2 linked regions of the Lonchura striata genome follow. The protein of the gene in region 2 purifies or fractionates together with the protein of the main gene of each other region. This does not show direct contact. Links are inferred from orthologs where the notes say so. Each region holds a gene or a part of one and is shown on either strand. Other genes may lie near its edges.

Region 1 (10,432 bases), on a different chromosome or scaffold from region 2:
CATTGAAGCATTGAGTCACTGCACTGTATTGCAGAATTTATCTTAGGGTCAAGTTAATGTTTGAAAAGAAACAAATGCAGCTGATAGCACTGGGTAAACAGTGACTGTTTCTGCTTGGGATCACGCCTGCTCCTGTCTGCCTTGTACAGGGCAAAAAAAAACCCACAAGCACACTCGATCCCTCCCTACCGTGGGACCATCCCAGCTGCAAAGTCCTATCAAAATTATTAATTGCATAAACTGCTCTCTGCACCTCCTGGCTTCAAAGCAATAGGTCATTAGGAGCTTGAGATTCTGAGACTTTTTTAGGGAAGCAAAGCATTGAAATGAGAACTGAAAAACCAATTTAATTTACAAGCATATTAACTCTGACAGTTTCCCATACCAAGCATCTGGCTTGGTGTGGTTTGGCACAAGTCATCGAAACAAGGAGCCTTAAAAAAGACTGGAAATCTCTCTGAATGTGCCCATCTCTCACCGAGGGAGAATGAAAATCCAGATCCCCTGCCTCAAATAAAACATGGTCCTTTTTTTACAAGTACAGTCTTAATTCTTCCCTTTTGGAGGATGGCACAACAAACTTCTATTGTGCTGGACTCTGTTAATCAAGATCCATGAGAAGAAATGGTGTGCCTGATTTTACAACTGATCTATCCAATGCAATCAATTATCAGTTTATCAAAGTGAGATATTTTGACAAATGTGAAATGTATTCAAGGAAGCTACAAATTCACAGTACAGCTGGGAAATCACTACATTAAGGCAATGCCAGCTTTACACTAGAATATGTGACCACTGCTCCTATAATTCAATCTATTAATTCCATACTCTCTGACCAAGTAATAATAAAAATGCATTTATTAACTCCACAGAAGTTAATCACCAATTTCATCAGAACTTAGACACATATGTAAGATGGAAACAGTCAGTCATAAAAGCACTACATGTTAACTGAAGTTTTTTCACACATTTGACAGTTCTGAAAGTTACTAAGATACATGGCAGCAAGATTCAAGATTCTTCCTCTCTCTGCCCCAAAACAGGCAACTATAATGGCACAGCTTTATTCTCAAATGTCAAAGCAAAAAAGGGAGCATAAGGGGAAAAGGAAGGGAAAGCTCCATTCAAGTTCTTTAACCTTCTTCACTCTTCCTCCCAGGGTAAGCAAAGGACCAAGAAATCCCATATGTCCAGTATTAAACACCAGTATTTCCATTAAGAGATTTCATAGAGGTTCCTCCTTTTTGCACTTATTTTTTAAACTTACCACTCACAAAAGCAAGAAGAAAATGTTGTACGTGAACCTGTAATTTTACATACTCTGGTTTAATGATAAAGTCCATGCACAGCCTATTCAACCTACATTTCCATCCTAGTCTCTTTCACCAACAGCAAGGTCAGAACCGTTATTTTCCTGCTCATGCTTGCAAAGGAGTGACTTATAGTAAATTTCCTGTTTTTCCAGCCTTGTAAATGTCATACAAAACAGACAGGCAATAAAATGTATACATTTCCAGGCTAATATTGCCCCAGCACTTCAGCACCAATCAGTTAGAAACTACAAACTCGGAGGAGGAAAATCATAGTTAAAAACTTGTTTACAATCTTATCTGCACACTCCTTGGCTGTCTGCTCTAGTGCCACACTTTTCCTGTTGATTGACAGTTGCCATTGCCATAATCAGATTTTTAATCAACACAGAAGTAATGAATTTTAATTAAAATACTCTCCTTTTCTATGCTTATAATTCTGATACATGAGGGAGATCCCTGCTTTGCACAGAGCAGCGTGCAGATGCCAGGCTACCATTGACAGGTTTTCCAGACCACAAAAATGTTTAGAGATTTAAAAACCAAATATTTATTTATATTCCACATTCTTGGCTAATAAACTATTTCTTAAAAATATGGAGAAAGAAAAAAAAAAAAAAAAGAAACTACAATCCCACAGTAACCAAGGGCTTGGTTCTCAGCTCTAGATGGGAATAGTCCAAGGTTTAAGTGCCTGCCCTGACTTACAACCCTTTTGAACCCTTTTCTCCCACTTTCCAGGTAAACCCAACCAACACACTAAAACTCAGCTCTCTGCCCGTTCTTTTGACCATATCCTGGAGCAGAGACACATTTACCACCAAGTTCTGCCATGTGCAGTTTATTCCCAGGACATGTTTTATTTATACTAACTCATGTTTCCAAAACAGCAAAAAGTTTGATCACAAATTGTTTGGTTGGGAAGGGTTTTACACACACCTTCCTTCCACAAACACAGATCACATTGCAACACCACAAGCTGTACTTTAATACTTCTGCTAAAACAATCAGTATGTAAAAAAACCTCTGCCTAATTTCCTCATACTTTTCTTCATGCTTTTCTCCCCCTCCTGCTTGGGCAGGGAAACCAGCAGGCTGAGTTTCCCTCACCACTTCCCAGTGGAGTGAAGGCAGCAGGGAAAACAGGCATTTTTTTAAGAAAAACTGGGTATTTTGGAAGTTTGACAGCGTTTGCTGGAATGTTGCTGCTGAGTCCTGCAAGGGACTAACAAATCGCTGTGCTTTGGTGGCTCAGCTCCGGGCAGGTGGTGGAGGGCAGTGCTCAGCCTCAGCTCCTCTCCGACTCCATCGCTGTCATCTGCTCGCTCCGGAGGTTCCAGGGATGAAACAAGTGCCTGCAGCCCTTCATCTCAGCTCACCCGTGAGCCCAGGGACAAGACTTCAGGTGACAGTCCTGCCAGCTGGCCAGAAATTCTGTCTGCAGCTACCAGCTGGGTTGAACGAAGTACAGGGAAAAAAACCCCTCGCACCACAAGCCAGAGCGAAACCCCCACCTTTAGGATGCACACGTCTGGATGACAAACTTTCCCCTAAGGAATCTCTCGGGCAACACGAAGAAAACTTCCCTTCCTTCCTGCACTTGGAGCTGACCTCGGGGAGCTCCTGCAGCTCTCACAGCTCCGGCTGTCCAGCTGCAGTCCTGCTCCTCCTGGTCCAACCAGCCTCGGTGGCTGCCGCAGCACCAACAGCTTTTTGGCACTACATTGAAGTCCTGTCCTGGAAATCACAAACCCATTAGCCAGGCCTGTTAGCTAACCTGTTGAGCGACTGTGGAGTGTACACGGATGTGGAGTGGCATCTTTTAAATCCAGCATGGGAGCACTCTTCCTATCCTCTTCCTCAGCCAAACAGGAGAGCTACCTATCTGTTCCTTCCCCTGTGCGCTGCAGGGCTGGCAGCACGGATGTGCCCTCACCTAGGGTAAACCAGGGGGAAGAAAGGTAAATCCGAGTAGCCTTTCAGCCAGAGAGGGAAGATGCAGGAGGGTCCAAGCTTTTTCTTCCCACGCTGGCAGCCGGCAAACACACGCTGCACTTTCGGAACAAGCTCAGCAGCTCCAAAGGATGCTCAGCTGCTGGAGGAGGGGATCCCTCCCCATTCCCCCAGCAGTGAAGCTCCCTCAGCCTCTCCAAGGGTCAGCCGGACACCGAGCTCCCCCGGACAAGCGCGGGGTTCCCGCAGGGAGCGCCGGCAGCTCCGCGGCGCCTTTGGGAAAGTCTCACGCAATTGCTCGCTGCGCTTAGCGCAGGGCAGGGACTGCGGGGCGGCTGCAGCCGGCTCCGGACGAGGAGGTGCCTGTGCATCAGTGCCCTCGCAGAAGCTGCGCACACGCGTGGGTGCACCGGCACCCGCGGCTCCGTCCGCCCCGAGGGGCTGATGCTCGCCACCCCCGGCCACCCAGCGCCGCGGGTCCCCCCTCGTCCCCCTCGCACCTTGTCGGACGGCTTTCACCACGACGGGGTCCTTGCAGCTCCGGATCACTTCCAGCACGTCGTAGCGCGGCAGCCCCGACACGCGGACCCCCTGCACCTCCAGCAGCAGCTCGCCCTCGCTCAGCGCCGCCTCGCCGTCCCCCGCCGCCGCGCCCGCGTACGGGAACTCGCCGTGCTCCGCGCCGCCGAGCAGGGCGAAGCCCAGCTGCCCGCCGGGCCCGCGGGTCAGCGCGCACTGCCGCACCCGGCTGGACCAGTGGTTCTTCTTCTGCACGACCCGCGACATGGCGCTGCGCGTCCCTCCGCGCCCGCGGAGCGCGCTCGGCAGGTGCGCAGGGGGCGCGGACCCGCCGCCCGCTCAGGCCATCACCGCCCGCACGGCTCCGCGCCCGCGGAGGGCGCGCACCGCCCCCCGCCCGCCCCTCCGCGCCGTCCCTTCTCCCCTCTTATTAAGAAAAAAAAAAAATTAAAATTAAAAATTATTCAAAAGCGCCGAAAAAGCAAATCCGGCAGCCGCGCGGTGTTGCCGCCCCCTCTCCGCGGGCGCTGCGCGGGGCGCGGAGCCTTTGGGGCGATACAAAGCGGCGTTTGTTTTGTTCCAGTTCGGTCCGTCCCGCTCCGCCGCGCTCCGCGCCGCCGGCGCAGGCGCCCTGGCACGGCCCGCCCCGGCACGGCCCGGCCCCCGCCCGCTCCCCGCCCCCGGCACGGCCCGGCCGGCGGCCCCGGCTCCGCCCGCTCCCGCGCACAACTTCCCCGCGGGGGGAAGCGGCCGCCGGGCCCCTCGGGCCGCGCCGAGGGGGAGCCCCCCGCCTGGAATCCTCGTTCTCCGAGCCGGGCCGGAGCGCGGGTGCTCTGCCCCGCGCCCCCGGGGATGCTCATATTGCAGGGGACGGCAGATCTTTGCTTTCCCGAGAGGATTTCTAGGATTTTCCCAGTTGCAAACCACTTCTTACCTGCGCTTTCCAGGTGGTTGTTACAGGAGAGGACGCAAATACAAATCCCGAGGAGAAACTTGCACAAGCCCATCATTAAAATGGTATCAAAGTGCTTGCGCGAGGCTGAGTGAGTCTCTCCTACTCTTAGTTCTGCACTCCGGTTTTTGATTGAGTGCTCGAATTTGAGACATTAATAATGTTTTCACATTGTCCTGTCCTCGTTGTTTAGAAGCTGGGACAGACTAATAGCGAGGTCTGGCTGCTGGAGAAAGGGATGGGCATCCATTTGTTTGTCCTTCGCCAAAACTCTTCAAAGTTACCCAGAACTGGTGCAAAACTCAAAACGGGAAAGTAAGAGTGCACGTACCAGCTGTCCCTTCCAGGTCATGCTCCATGCTTCCAAACCTGAAAGCCAGGCCTCATTTCCAGCAGTCTTATGCATGACCGAACCCCTTCCAGCGCGGAATTCACTTGTCAGACGTGTGCGTGCCCTATTTTGCCGCTAATCGGGACTGAGGAGTGACACAGGGAAACAAAGAGTCTGGTCTGGCTGCCTGTGCTGCACTGATGTGTGCTCAGACAGCACAGCCCGCAGACTTTCACTGCTGCCCGCCTCGCTCTTTCATCGCTCATCCCCCCAGCCGAGCGTGTCCCGCGGAGATCCGGGATGCGGGAGGGGCGGCAGGCTCGGGGAGCATCGCTGCGTGGGGAAACAGCTCAGCCTAACATCGTCTGATGCTGGCCCAGCTGATCAGCCGGCTCAGCGCACAGAGCTCAGAGGTGACCGGGATTCTTTCCCTGCCCTCGCACCTGTCCCGGATGGAGCTGGGACGCCTGTGCTTCCCTCACCTCCTGCATTCCATGCTCCTTTCCCCAGCTGCAATCCCTCATCTGGCTGTCCTGTAGAACTCCATCGCTGCGGACGCTGCTCTGCCGCCGCGGGAGCGCAGTCCCCGGCCCGAGTGGCGCAGCCACATCCCGGCACGGGAATGGAAGGCTCGGCCAGTGTCACACAGCACAGCAGTGACCCCGCTCCATCCCCTGTGCCTCAGGCACCTCTGCCCACGGGAAGCAGATGGGATTACAGAGCTCAGGAAAGTCCTTCCAACCGAGAGGCAGAGCCTGCCTTCCCGGGTAGAAGTGGACTCGTGAAGTTCAGTGTACCTGCTGTGTCTAGCCCTCACTTGCTTCCAAGAGGTTTCTTTCCATTTGGAACTTTCATATATGTTTTCATCCTTAAAGCTGTGCTGATCCCTTATGTTTGAGCAGCAGTAACTGCCTCACATCTGCTTTTGCTGGCTCAGTAACCAGCTGCCCCATTTGTCACTTTTAGGATGACAGCACGCTTTTTACTGTGCCTTCACCAGTAAAGAGTGGATAGGTCATCAGGCTGGATCCCCTGGGCAAGAAATGCTCCAGAGGTCTGTAGACCCTACAGAACAGCAGCATAGCTTGTGGGGAAGGCTTTCTCTTTCATCTGTGCACTGGGTGATAGTTGTGTCACACACGTGAGCTCATGGTGCAGGGAGCCCCTTGTTCACAGCCCAGAGCTGGGTGTGACGTATTTTCATCATCATTTTGCAGGATGTCTTATGTGACAGCCCTGCTAAGCTAAAAATCATCTGGGTTCCATGTGAACATCACATGAGCTGTGGTTGCCCTGAATAGATCTTACGGAACTACTCATGCCTCATGGAAAAATTTTTGGAAAAGACTGTTTGGAAAAACAAGTTTTGATAGTAAAATTTATGAGATGACAGACTTCCAAGGGCCCTTTTCAGTTTGCTTACAAACACTGCAACTGTAATGAAAGTGAGCTGTCCCCATTGTAATCCTAACACTGTACCCATGTCTGGGCCACTGTGTTCCCAAAATTGTTCTTGCTGACAATTAACAAAACCGGCAACTCTCAGCCAGAACTTCATCTTGATTTTCAGATTTTCACTTCAATTTTTATCCTGGACCACTTTTCTACCATTTTATCACCTTGTTGCATCCAGGTGGTCAATCTGGAAGCTGGCACTGCTTATATCAGCTCAAATACAGCCAAGGTTTTTTGTTGTCCTGATTGCTGTGTGACTGTACTGCACCTTACTGCTGCAAGGAGATTATTTCAGGGCACAGCTGCTCCAACCACCTCTATTAAAGGAAGCTCTTGGTCAGCCTTTAACAGAACTGAGCCTGGCTGCTCCTGCCCAGAAGGGTCCCTGACACCAGCTGATGGATAATTGGGTGATTACTGCATACAAACCTGGCACTGCCTCTCATTGCAGAGCTTGGCCTCTCTCCCAGGGACAGTGGTCCTGCTTTGCAGGGGATGGATTTAATGATTAACAGACTGTCTTCATCTCTGACAACTGCAGTTCTCATAATGACACTCTCCTTTTTGTGAGGGTCTCTAAGCACTTCACAAAGAGTAATTAAGGAATCTTCAGACACACCCACCTGGGGAACAGCTGAACATGAACATGGGGCAGGGAGAAGCTCAGGGCACACTCCTCATCTGAGAATGGCTCACTGCAGCCATCCTACTTCACCTGCAGCAGCTGGTCCAGCCTCATCTCATGCAGGTCTGCATGCTCTTCACCAGCCCACAGCCCAGGACAGCGCTGTGAAAACTGACTTGGGTGGGCTCAGGCCTTTAACCAGAGCCTGATTCCCTTACTCTTTTTTCTACAGCCACTCCAACCCATGCATTGGCAGCTGCTAATTTGTCAGGATGAGAAGGCTGCTGCTTTCTTCCTCCTTCAGCAGGTGCTCTGCATGCTTTGGGCCCTGCTACAAACATACAACAGCTCAAATGGTTCTTTCAAATAGGATACTGACCCATGGTCTTGGTCTCAAACGTCTCTGAAATTTCGTGCTGTGTCCTGGATTCTAAAATGGGTCAAAGCTCTCCCATGCATCAACTCATTCTCTCAGCTTTCCTACTGAAACTTGAGGAAACCACAGTTTGACTTTTTTTGGAATGGAAAACCATGTCTAGTCACTGAGAATGTTGTGGGTTTATGGCAGTTCACAGCCATGTACTCCCACCAGAGAGCATAAAGATGACAATGATTAAGAGTACAAATGAAAGTACAGCTTATTTAATACAGCAGAATTACTGTTAATTTCCAGATAAACCCCAAACCTTTGATATCATGGGCCTCAAGGCTTTGAAGACCTCAGCATATAAATCCTGGAAAAAAAAAAAAAAAAAAAAAAAAAGAGAAAGTTTTTAAACAAGATCCAGTCTCTCAAACATTGATTGAAGTTTCCTGTGGGCACACTCACACTACCAGAATATGTTAGTAGAAAAGCCATGTATTGTGGTTATTTCCCAAACAAGAATTTTTTTATATTAATCCCACTTAACTTTTACTGGAGGAGAATTTTCTTCGCAGCATCCAGGCTTTCTCAACAGGCTGGTGCTGCTCTCTGGTAGCAAGGAGGAGATGGGCTGGTGCTGCTTTGAGTCCTGGCCCTGGCAAACATTTCAGCAGATAACCCAGCTCCAGGTACTGAACAAACCCTGTATTTACAGCAAACCTTCCAAGTGTCAGGACATGAGAAGCTCTGGTGAAAGCTACTGACCAGCCAGCACAGACAGGTCCTGCTCAGGGACAGAGCTGGGCCAGCAAAGTCCATCCCAAAATGCAGCCCCTGTGTAGGGCATTTCCAGCCTCTTGCAGCAGGGTGGCTGGAGCTCCATCCAGGGCTGCTGGCTCAAAGTGAATGTGACCACAGGATGCTGGGAAGAAAAAGGAAATTCACCCCTTAGTGGGACTTCATGTCACCTTCCTCTACAATTTATTTCAATAATATCACATAGTGGAATATAAAGCTGAAGATCAATCTCATAACCATATTAAGACACTCTGGGGTATATTTTATAGGACCATTAATATACTTCTTGGGTGGTTAATGTCACCCACAGAATAAATTAATGGCTCCATAAAACATGCTCTGTCATATCCTATGGCTTAAATAACACAGAATAGGCTGGGTATGTTGGGATGTGGTTGAACTTATTGGGTGGAAGCAAAGGGTCAGAGTGACCACCTGGGAGTGAGGATACCAGACTCAGGGGGCCCAGTCATTTTACAAAAGCAAGATTCTAGAAAATCAATCACAAATTGTAGATTTCATTAACTTTAATTAGCACTAGCACTCCCAGGTTTATTTGTTTCATTCAGGCACATCTTCCCTGCAGAAGCTGTTCTGTTCCAGGGTAGGATTGTTGTGTGTGGAGCTTTTTGGCATAGAGGGAGCCAGGCATGAAAAGATCTGAAGAAGTCAGGCACAGAGCAGGCAAAGCCTCTTGGTTAGAGAAGGGATCAGATTGGCTTTTCAGGGGAAGCTAAGCCTGCCATATGTTTCAACTTTCTGAAAGAAACTTGAAGGAAATGTCAATACAGTGTTCATTTGGGACAGATTTTATTGGAGTGGTTGTCTCTGATACCCACAGGAATATTTCCAAAAAGAAAAGAAAAAAAAAAAAATTTTCTTTCTAGTCTTTCCTGACCATGATCAAGCTACAGAAGAAGCAAATTCCTCCTCCTTGTCTGGTAGATATTGGGTCTTAAGTCACATTCTTCCCCAGGAATTTTTTTTTTTTTTTTTTTTTTTGCTATTTTAATGTTTCCACATTAAATAAGACTCTTCAGTAGACACTATCACCAAAGACTTCTCAGTAGACACTAGCTGTGTCCTGCTAAGATAAACTATCCCAATTCACCTGTCTCAGCTGATAAACCTCCACTTTTCCACTTCTGCTGCTTGAAAAAGAAAAAGGGCTCACCTCTGATTTGTAATGCAAGAGCTCAGTGCAACTGCCCAAGGCACCAACACTCACCCAAACTTGCTTCAGCTCAATAGTCTCATTCTGCCCCTTTCTTACTGCCCTTGTTCTCTCTGCAGATACAGAAGAGCCTCACTGCATCCTTAAACTCCACCCCTGCTCTGCTGAGGCTTATGGAGATGCTGTTCCCTGTCCTTCGCCTTTTGCCTCCCCTCTCCAGTCCTTACCTTTCTATTTTCTCTATGTATTTTGAACACAACCCTTGCTATTCATTCCCCCTAAAAATCCTGAAAACTAAAGCTGTATCAGGAAAGATTTCTGCTTTAAGTCTCTCCAGTGCCATAAACAGGCAAAGTCTGCACTTTTCAAATGTGCTGCATGCTGAATAAGTTCATAGTCCCTTGTGGTGGATGTGTATTAAAGTCTAATGGCTTAAAAGTGGGAAAAGATCAGGAAGAAAAAGCTGGGAATAACCCATCTCTAGCCGTAGCAAAGTCTGGTTCAAACAATTGAGTTGTCAATCTTGTGATTTGGTTTGAAAATAAAACTAGCCACAAAGGCTCAGCTTCCCGAAACTAACTGGCACATCAGTGCAGTATCTTGTCCACCAGCTCCACTTTGAAGGGGTTTGTTTTTCTCAAAAATAAAAAATCAATACACAGAATATCAACAGCAATTCTGTATAAACAGCAAAAATACCTTTTCCCTCATAAAAACACCGAGTTGAGGAAAGATTTCTGTAATAGAGAATTGATTTCATCCTCACAAAAAGTTTTTCCAAGTACCCTCAGCAAGATTAAAAGAAATAAAAAGGTAGCAGTAAGGCACAATGATGGGACAAGCTGAAAGTTTGGAAAAGAAATTCCTTTGGAGCAGTATTGATATGCTGTTCCTTCATGGTGAAGACTAGCTGGGAAATCCCTCTCTGGGTCAGAATTACAATCCTGGCAA
Region 2 (9,687 bases):
AATAATATATGATATATGATATATGATATATCTGACTTTTAAAACATGAAAAGGTTTCTGAGGGCAGCCAGTGAAAATTAGGCTGTTAGTATCAAATCCAAATGGTTTTAAAAACAATGTTAACAACATTTTTTTTCTCATATAAATATTTTATATCCTGATTCAGGAATAAAGCTCCTATCTCCTATGTTTTTCAGTTTCCTAGCAGAGCTTTACATATTTTATTTATCATTCTGCATTATCTATTAGATAACTTTATCATCGAGTGTTTTGTGGAAAGCAGTATTGTTGGACAATAATCATCATCTGGCTATCTATCATTAATATGTATGAATTAAATTATTTTAAAGACTTGGCCAGCTTTGAATAAATAGTAATCCCATCTATATTTGACTTTTAGACAATTTCTACTTTTGATACTTTGGCACAATCATGTAATATTTGGGTTGTAGAAACTTCAAAAGATTATTTTAAATAATGCAATTATAGTTTTTTCAGAAAGAGTAAGCTTGTATTTTATTTTAGGAAAGATTGGTTTATTGGTAAAACAGTGAAATGTAAGCTTGGGCTTTAATTTGTTCAGTCATTTAAATTTCAAAGGCAATGAGTAAGAATGAAATATTTTTTTCCTTATTTGGGATGTCATTTACTGAAATATATTATTAGAAATATATGTGACACCAAATTTGTAGATCATGAAACTGTTATGAGATACATTCAGCAGTTGAAATTGTTCCTATGTATATCCTGCCTATATTAGTTCATGGATGACTATTTGTAAAGGAGTGGAGTGCCTTTTTAACCTATACATTATTCAGAAAGTGTTATCTATCTAAAATGACACTTTAGTCTCTCTGATACTTTTGCCACTGTGTAGCAGGTGCAATTTGAGACCCACACAGAGCACCTCTCCATGCTGGCAGCCTGTCCCAGAGCACACCAGGACTGAAGCACTGACTTATTGCTGTGTGCTTTGTACCATCCCACCAATCCAACCTCATTCACCACACATCCTGATGTGCAAAAGATGCAATTTCACTGTTTCTCTCTGTGGTTAGTTTTATGTTTAAAAAAACCCCTCAAAATGCTGCTGCTACTGTTACTAGAAATAGCACTTTACTGTGCTTCTTTGTATCTCAGAATACCTAAGAAGTTTAAAAGTTGCTACTTTTGTGTCTCTTTTCACAGACGGGGAAGGTGGGGCAGATGTTGACCTGAGGTCTGGAGCACACCTTCCCAGCAGGGTACCAGGAGAGAAGACCTCCCATCTTCACTTTTACTCCTGAGGGATGAGGGGCAGACCTGTACCGTGGTCACAAGCACAGAGCAAGTTTGTGTAGATGTTCCAGACCTTCAGAAACACACACCTGACCTTCAAGAGCTGCTGCAGATTTGTTCAGTGCTCACACAGTGTGTAGCACAGTTCTGCTGTGCCTCCTGGGTGCTGCTGCAGTACAGCCACCTTTCCTTTTGTTTGGGCACCTTTATCAGTACAGCTGAAGGGAACACTGTGTGGACTGTGAATTCCTCTCCAAGATCATATAAATACTTGGACGGCACATGCTGTTTCTCTAGTATTAATCTAACTAGCTAGAGCTGGTTTGCATACATCTGCAGCTACAGCAGAAGTTTAATGATAAATACGCCCAAATGTAGCTATGCAAATAGTGGCAAATTCTGAATAAATGCATGAAATGCATTATAGTAGTCAAAAGTTCTTCTGTTTTTCCTTCAATAAAAAAAACAAAACAAAGGATGATTTTTCCTTTATGGCACAGGCCAGGTTCTCTTTTGTAATCTTCAGAATTTCATACATCTTATGAGTATAAAAGGATCATAAAACCTGTGGTAAACATTCAAGAATTATTTTACTATGGTCTGAATTAGCCTTCTACCTATCAGAGGTGCAGAGTGGTTGTTCCATATTGCGCCCATACATAAATGATTACTGGACAACAAATATCCACAATAACAGAGCATGTTATGTAAAAAATGAACAGACAAAACCACACAAACAAACAAGCAAACTCATATGCCCTTCATCATAATGCAGAAGGTACTAAAAACTGCAATTGCAAGTGGTAGTAATCCCAGCCATGTATAAATCCCAGAAGTGGGAATCATTCTTGGAAATGATGCCACCCTAAAGAGAGAGCATAGAGGCTAATCTTATTTAAAGGATAAGATACTCTCTCCTTGGTAGTGGCCTTACTTGTACCTAAAATAATTAATATTTTACTTAAAATCCAACAAAATTGGCTTCTGCCCAGTCCAGAGGGGATGGCTACTGTTCTCAAGGTCAACTCTGGAGGGGTTCACCAGGCCAATACCTCTGTTCCCCAATAACTGTCTACCTCCATGAATGGTTATGGAAGTATCTTTTTATGGTTGCCAAGAAGAAAGATATGGGAAGGAGTAGGGCAATTCTAAGGGCTGGAGTTTGACTGCATGAATCTGCTTCACCTGCTGTGCTATCTCCAGTTGATAGATGGAAACAAGTACTTACCCAAGAAATGGGAGAAAGGAGCATCCCTGGGCTTATAACCATACAGACTGTTGATAATGCTAAACTCCCTCAAAATGGCAGTGTTTTATTTCTTACCAGGGCAGACTGGTGCATCCCAAGCAAGCCAAGCATCTAACTGTGGGTGACTAACTACAGGTGTAATGAATTGAAAGTCATATGGCTAAGCTAAGTGCAAGCTTTTCAAAGTGTATTTTCTTTAAAATGAGGTTTAGCAAATGAACAAAATGTTCCCAGAACTGCTGAATTTGTTTTCTTAGCATTTTAGTAACTGTTTGACCTGACCATTTCAAATTACCACTTGAAAGAAATGGACATATTCAGGAGGGCAGATACCCTGTCTTTCTAAGGCAAAATACTTCTATAAAATAACATAGCTATTACTTCTAGCTATCCAAAAAAGATATTATGCTGAGCTGTCATATTTTGTGTTGCAGCGTTTTCATACTGTTGAAATAGCAACATTATATGAACTGCATGTGTATAGTTAACTCTTGGTTTCCTGGTGTAAGATGGGTAGGAAACCTGTGTAATGTATTACCATGACCAGAAAAACACTCCCCCTCAAAACAAACAAACAAACAAAAAAACCACCAACCAACCCAATCCATTGTAAATAAGGGTAAAGCTAGATAATATATCCTGAAGAGTAACCAATAAGCAAAATGAATGGCATGTCCTGGTATATATGTGTATTTAAAATCATACTGATTTTTTGTTGAAGATGAAAAACCGGAAGGCAGTAAGACTAAGAGAAAATGTAAGTTGCAAAAGCATTTGACACTGTAAATTATGTTTTGTTGAATACTTGCAGTGAAAAATGGGGGTTTCTGGAGATAATTGCATGTTTTCTCAAGTAATAACTGTCCTTACTCTGAATCTTGATGATTATTTACTGATTTATTGTTTATTTTTTTCTATTCAGAAGTAACTAGACTGATTTCAGCAAGAGAAAAAAAAATGGCATAAAGGACATGCTAGTATCCACCATGGAGGATATGAATAATCAGAAGTATTTGCTTTATACAAATATGTTGCTTACAGACACAAGAAAAGGTGTTAACACAACACATCCTTAAATATTATTGAGAAGTTGTTGAGTATATTTGTACATAGTTCTCTATGTACAGTTCTCTTCTTTCATTCATTCCCATTTCTAACAAGTCACGTAATGTGTTATAGGCCTTTGACACAGATCTATAACCATCGAGATTTGTGACACTGATCAGAATACAATGAGAGCCCTGAAATCCCATTCTCTGAAGAGGAATATCCCTATGAATCACAGGTATTGTGTTACCAGACAGCACAGCAAAAAATTAACCAGAGCAAAACACTCGACTTGATGCTGTTACAGCTAATAGGTCTGAAATGAAAGATAATTGCATATTAAAATAGAGTGGGTAGCTCTGTTTTGATGTAGAGATATAAAGATGTCAGGCAAGCTAGGCTGCAGCAGCAGGGAATGGGTGCCCTGAAGTGATTGAGGAGTGAAGCCCAAGAGAGCATTCCTCACATTCCTGTGGCACTCCTGCTATACATATGCCCCCCAAAAAAAGGGCATTCCAGCACTCCGGATTGGTAAACTGAGCTGCAGAAAAGCTGGCACTTTTCTATAGCTGCAGGCTTGATTAATTTGAAGGAATTATTATCATCACTGGATGATGAACACGAGGCATATTTAAACTGTTATTTTTTAGGGCACAGGACATGACATTTTCAATCTGTTACTAAAAAAAAAAAAAAAAAAAATTAAAATCCCCCATAAGGACTTCTAGTAAGCACCGATAAGCAAGATATAGAGAATGTGGAGCACTCCCTAGTATTTTCCAATGATCTGCCCAGAATAATTGGTATTACTGCAAAAATATTTTGCTGACACATATGAGTAGGATTAGCCCAAAGAGCTATCTTTGTTAATGAGCCGTATCTAGAAATTGAGTAGGTTTAGTAGATTCCTGTCTGAAGACACAGCATTTTTGAGAGCCACTTGTGTCTAAAAGCGTAACATTTTTTTCTCCTGGGACTAGCAGTGTATGTTTGGTAAGGAAAAGATGGTTATCTCTGGGAATTTTCACAAATACAAACATGAAATAAAGATGACACTACCTTACTTGGAATTGAAATGTGACTGCTAGTGACTGGGAATTAAAGAGATTTATTAGTGTTGACATTATTTACATTGTGTGATCCGTATCAGCGAAGGGTACACATCACTTGTGAAAGCAAATACATTAATAGTATTACCCCGCCGCTAATGGCACGCTAATAATACTTCCATGGTTGGCGTTTGTCAGGCTGCTGCTGAGACGGGCTCGGTGTCGCGGTAAACAAAGAAAATCAGCCATGTTGCGAGATCCTTTATTCTTTAAAAACTTAAGTTCACGTGAGAAGAATCCGCCGCTAGATAACCCCCAGAACAGTGATAAATTAACGATTTCACACCCCTCCCTTCCCCGTTTTTGCCCCACATAGCAATGACAGAGGGGACAGCCGGCTGATACGGATTACTTTTGAGAAGCGTGACAACAGGTGGCCTCCCCGAAGTCACTAGATTCGGCAGACCAAGTCTTTATCAAGTCTTTATTTTTTTTTTTTTTTTTTGGCGTCCAGGTTGCCCATCACCAGTATCCGTGCACAGGGAGCACCGCCGAAGCTGCGATGATGCGCGTCCCTCGGGACCATGGCGGCGGCCGCTCAGACTTCTTTTTTGTGGTTAAACCTGGCCAGGATGTGTTCCCAGGGGGAGGATGCTGAGGCACCGTAGCCGGAGGGGACCCTGCCGGCGGCGACCCCCGGCGACCCGCCCCCCCCCTCCTCCTCCGTCCCGCCTCGGCCCGCCCCCCGCCGCTCCGCCTCCCCGAGCCGGCAACTTCCCCGTCGCCGAGGCGGGCGCGGAGTCCCCCATCAGCCCGGATGGGAGGAGGAGGAAGAGGAGGGAGGAGGCGACGAGGACGGTGCCCGAGGGGATGCGGCGGAGCGGGCCGGCGGGAGGCGTAGAGCCGGCTCGGGAGGGAGCGCCGAGCCCTGGTCGCCGCCGCTGCCCCCGGCGGGGCTCGGCCGCCGCCGGCAGCTCCGGGCGGCGGCGCTGCTGAGCCCGCGGTGCCTGCGCGCCGCCGCTCCCCGCTCCTCGCCCGCTCCGGCCGCGCAGCGCCAGGCCGCGGCCGCCCTCCCCCAGCGCCTCCCGGGCGGCGGCGGGAGGCGGCAGGGGCGCGATGGCGTCCTACGTGGATAACAGCTTCCGCCAGGCGGTGATGAAGAACCCGGCGGAGCGCAGCCCCCAGGTAAGCGCGCCGTGCCCCGCGGCTCCCGCGGGCGGAGGGGCCGCCCCGCTGCCCCCGCCCGCCCCGCGCAGCCCCGGCCGGGGCGGTCGGAGCCCCACGGCCCCGCTTCGGGCGGCGCGGCCACGGCTGACCCCGCTCCCAGCCCCCGCCGAACTCCCCAGCGCCGAATTCCCGGTCGGCAGCTCCCGGGAAGGGAAGGCGCGCATTAACGCGACAACTTTCCTCCTACTCCCTAATTTTGGGGGAAGGAGAGGGAGAAACGCCAGCTGGGTTTGTTTTGAAGGTTGCTTCCGGTGAAAAGAAAATGAACTTAGAGTACAATTTTTCGGTGATGTGGTTTTCCTTTTTTCCTTTCTTCTCTCTCTCTCTCTCTCTCTCTTTTTTTTTTTTTTTCCCTCTGTGTGTCAGTGTGTGTGTTTTGTTATTGCCCCGGAGTACGGGTGGCTCAGGATTTGAATTCAATCCCTACTTTTACATAGCTGGCTGGAGCTGGCAGTGCTGTTTCATAATGTAGGGGCTGAGGTCAGTGGTATTCTTGGCAAGTCCTTGCTCTCCAAAGTAGGGTGAAATCCTTACACAATGGCACCAGGCAGGAATTTTTTAGATACCTGCGCCGCGATCCTGGAGCCCCCTTTATCAGAGGAGTGTGTGAGTCGAAGCTGTTTGTAAGCGTAGTTGCGCTTAGAGAGGCTGAGAAAGGTTAAGCTGGGGACTGGAGTGCGTACGGAAACATTTTGACTTAACATGACCTGAAAAACAACTAAACTGAATGAGTTCCTTCTGCTCCCGAACGGTTGCTGCAGTGGCTGTTGCTGCCAACTGTCTAAAGACTAATAAGCTTTACACTGATCCCCACATCAAGCTGCGGTTCAATAGCTAATGATACAAGGAGTTACTTTGCTTGGAGTTGTAATGCCATCTGTCCTATTTTCTAAAGGCTTGTCCTGCTCTCTGAGCAGTCCCTGTATTCGGGTTTTGGGGAAGAGATGCTGTTACTGATTGTTTTGGCAGGCGTCTGACTGGCTGGTGATGATTTCAAATTGGGGCAAAGAGGAAACCTTGACTTCTGCTCAGCACCCATAAGTCATTCCTCCTACTATAGATACGTCATTGTGGTAATGTTATTTTTATCCCTGTACTCATGGAATCTGTGTGAGAAAATAAAACTTCTCATGGAAAAACATACTGACTGCATAGGCATCGTATGTGGCATGCCTTTTTGGCAACTCTGTTTTTTTCTTCTTTTTTTAAAAAAAAAAAGAAAAGGAAGCTGCTTCTGGAACATGTTTTTGTGGTGCTAAACTTGTTTCTCTGTCCTTGTTTGACCTTTTCCAAATGTCTGTTTGCCTTGAGTGCTGGACCCAGCCCTTCAGCGTGTTGTGAAAGCTGAAGGAGGCTGAGTGCTCCCTCCTGGAGAAGACACTCTCTGCAAACTCGCAGCGAGGTCCCTTGAATTGGTAGAGGCATAGATTCCAGCTGGGGGGAGCCTAGCAGCAGTGTCCAGCCTCAGGACATGGTTATGGAAGCACGGTGGGGTGCTCAGGAGGAGAGATGCAGGCAGATGCTCAAAAACCACTAGGTCAGGCTGTGGGGCCACCAGGCTGGGCTTGGGGGATGATGCTTTCCCTGTGGTGTGAACTGTTAAACTTTCTCATGTCCTTGCCAGTTGGCCTTGCTGTCTAGAAGGGATAATAAGGAAACACAGAAAGGTAGAGAGTAAGAAATGACGCAGTGAAGAATCCAGCCTGAATGCAGGGATAAAGCCCAGTGAAGGGCACAGAGCAGAGAGCTAAATTGGGAACACCAGGGCTGCGTTAGTGCTGGAAAACTTCCCCAGTCAGCACGCTGGCAGCCTGCTGTGGCAATCACCACAGGAAAAGAAACCCACCCTTAAATCCATGAAACTGACACTGACCCAAAATAATCCACAAATAAGACCAAGTATGTGGGAAATCTAATGCATTGTTAGCGCTGGAAATACTTGAAACTGGTGGTGCCCTCCTGTTGCTGCTGGAGAGATTGGGCTTGCAGCAGAAAACCTGGTGTTTTTGTAAATGGCTCGTGTTGAATTATGTGTGTTAATTTTCTACTGATGGTTCTCTGTTAAGTAAGTTTGATTTTATTTTACAACTGTATTGCAATTTGAAAGAAATATGTTTATGCACTTCATCTTTCATCATTACATGAAAAGGAAAAAATATATAGAAATGTACAAAGACCTTGTTTTTCCTTCTTCCCTTCAAGTAACTTATTGTCTCTTTACTTGTCTTTTCCTGTCCTTGCTATGCTATCTCTAAAAGAGAGCTACTTAATTTTGGTTTTTGGAAAGTCATGAGGGTTTTTTAAAGTTGAGAGAGGGTTGGAAAGAGAAAATATATTTATCATATTCATGTCAGTGCAGGAAATAGCAAGGGAAGTATGTTAGTAGCATATTTGCTTCTTTCTTATGTTAGCAAACTCTTTGGGGCTCAGCTTCTCCCAAATAATGATGAGGTAAATATCTGTTTGACATTTCTATTCACCCTGGACTGTCAGGGTGCAAATTTGGCACCATGCCTTCACTGCAGGCTCAGAGGACAGGAGTGACAGAATGATAGCCAGTATGTACAACTTAGAGAAGTAGGTCTGATAAACATTGTTGGGGAAAGCAAACTTAACTTGGCATGAACATTTATAGTGCAAAAATCTCCTGGTAATTTTGGATTGAACTGATTTTTTTTTTCCTTGAGGTAAACAGTTTATTCTGCAACTGCTTTTGTAAATTTATAACTTTATATCTCTTTGGTATATCCTCCTTTACAGAGTGTTCCTGACTTTTGTGAATCACAACTCGGTATTCTGTTGGCTAAAGAAAATGAGAAATAAAAGAAAAGGATTTATACGTGGCCTGTACTTTAACATGCCTGTTGTGTAACTCTTCTCTTTAATTGATGTATTAAACTATTCATTTTCTCTTTGAAGACATGAACTAGGAAGTTAATTTAACTACTTTGGGGAATCTAGCTTTTAAATGTTCATAAATTACAAATGGTTTTATGCCCTTAAGCTGTGAGTAATAGTGATCTAGTTTTTTTCTCTCCTAACATCCTCTCATATGGACTGTTATAGCTTTGATTCTTTATAAAAATTCTTTTTGGCATCATAGGCCATTTTAGAAAGCATGCAGTTTTATATTGTTGTAGCTTGGCTTGAAAAAATAGGGCTGCTTTTGTTTTCAAACAAGAGAAACTGAGCCCTAATCTTTCTTTATCCTAACAACTCATTTGCATGGCATGGTATATGAATAGCTGGTTGCTTCAGAAACTCTGCATACTGTTCACTGTTTTCATGCCATGTGGTGACGTCTGTAGGAAGAAATTTTTTGAGTGTGTGCCTTATACATGTTAGATGCCCAAGGTTTGCTTCTGGGAACTGCCAGTGTGGTACACCAGGGCAGTTCAACACAGCAGTAATGGAGAGCAGCGATGCGACAGCATCGCACCAGATCTTCAGGGTGGAGGGGAGAACTGTACAGTAGCCCTTAGTTTGATACTTATGCGTCATTTAATGGCAGAAGGCATCTAAACAGGATGCTGTTGTAAAGCAGATACTCCTTTCTTGAACACTTGAGAGGAAAAATGGTTTAATTATAGGATGTACCTATGCTTTTTCCAAATAAACTTTCGGCTTGTTTCCCAGATGTGTTATTTTTATACTTGTAACCAGTGATAACATGATTGTGTGCAATCTTCAGATAAGCCAGAAATGAACATTTCCTTCTTGCTACAGTGATCTCTTAAACTACACAGCCTTGTATTTATTTTTTAATAGGATCAGCGATACTAAGCGTTTTATATGTGAGTCTAGCAAAAGAATATTTAGTCTTTAAATTTGGCCTGA

The links. The genes of interacting proteins can lie anywhere in the genome.
Region 1: the proteins of RAPGEF2 (region 2) and MAGI1 purify together in Homo sapiens (co-immunoprecipitation; 3 studies listed by BioGRID and IntAct, with this or other methods). This does not show direct contact. The link is inferred for Lonchura striata from reciprocal best matches to the Homo sapiens genes RAPGEF2 and MAGI1.

What each region holds. Positions count from the first base shown.
Region 1 is NC_134614.1:18,542,212-18,552,643, forward strand, and holds the start of MAGI1 (membrane-associated guanylate kinase, WW and PDZ domain-containing protein 1), read right to left. Parts: upstream 4,050-10,432; coding exon 3,764-4,049; intron 1-3,763. UniProt on the Homo sapiens protein: Plays a role in coupling actin fibers to cell junctions in endothelial cells, via its interaction with AMOTL2 and CDH5. May regulate acid-induced ASIC3 currents by modulating its expression at the cell surface.
Region 2 is NC_134606.1:40,592,265-40,601,951, reverse strand, and holds the start of RAPGEF2 (rap guanine nucleotide exchange factor 2), read left to right. Parts: upstream 1-5,667; 5' UTR 5,668-5,739; coding exon 5,740-5,808; intron 5,809-9,687. UniProt on the Homo sapiens protein: Functions as a guanine nucleotide exchange factor (GEF), which activates Rap and Ras family of small GTPases by exchanging bound GDP for free GTP in a cAMP-dependent manner.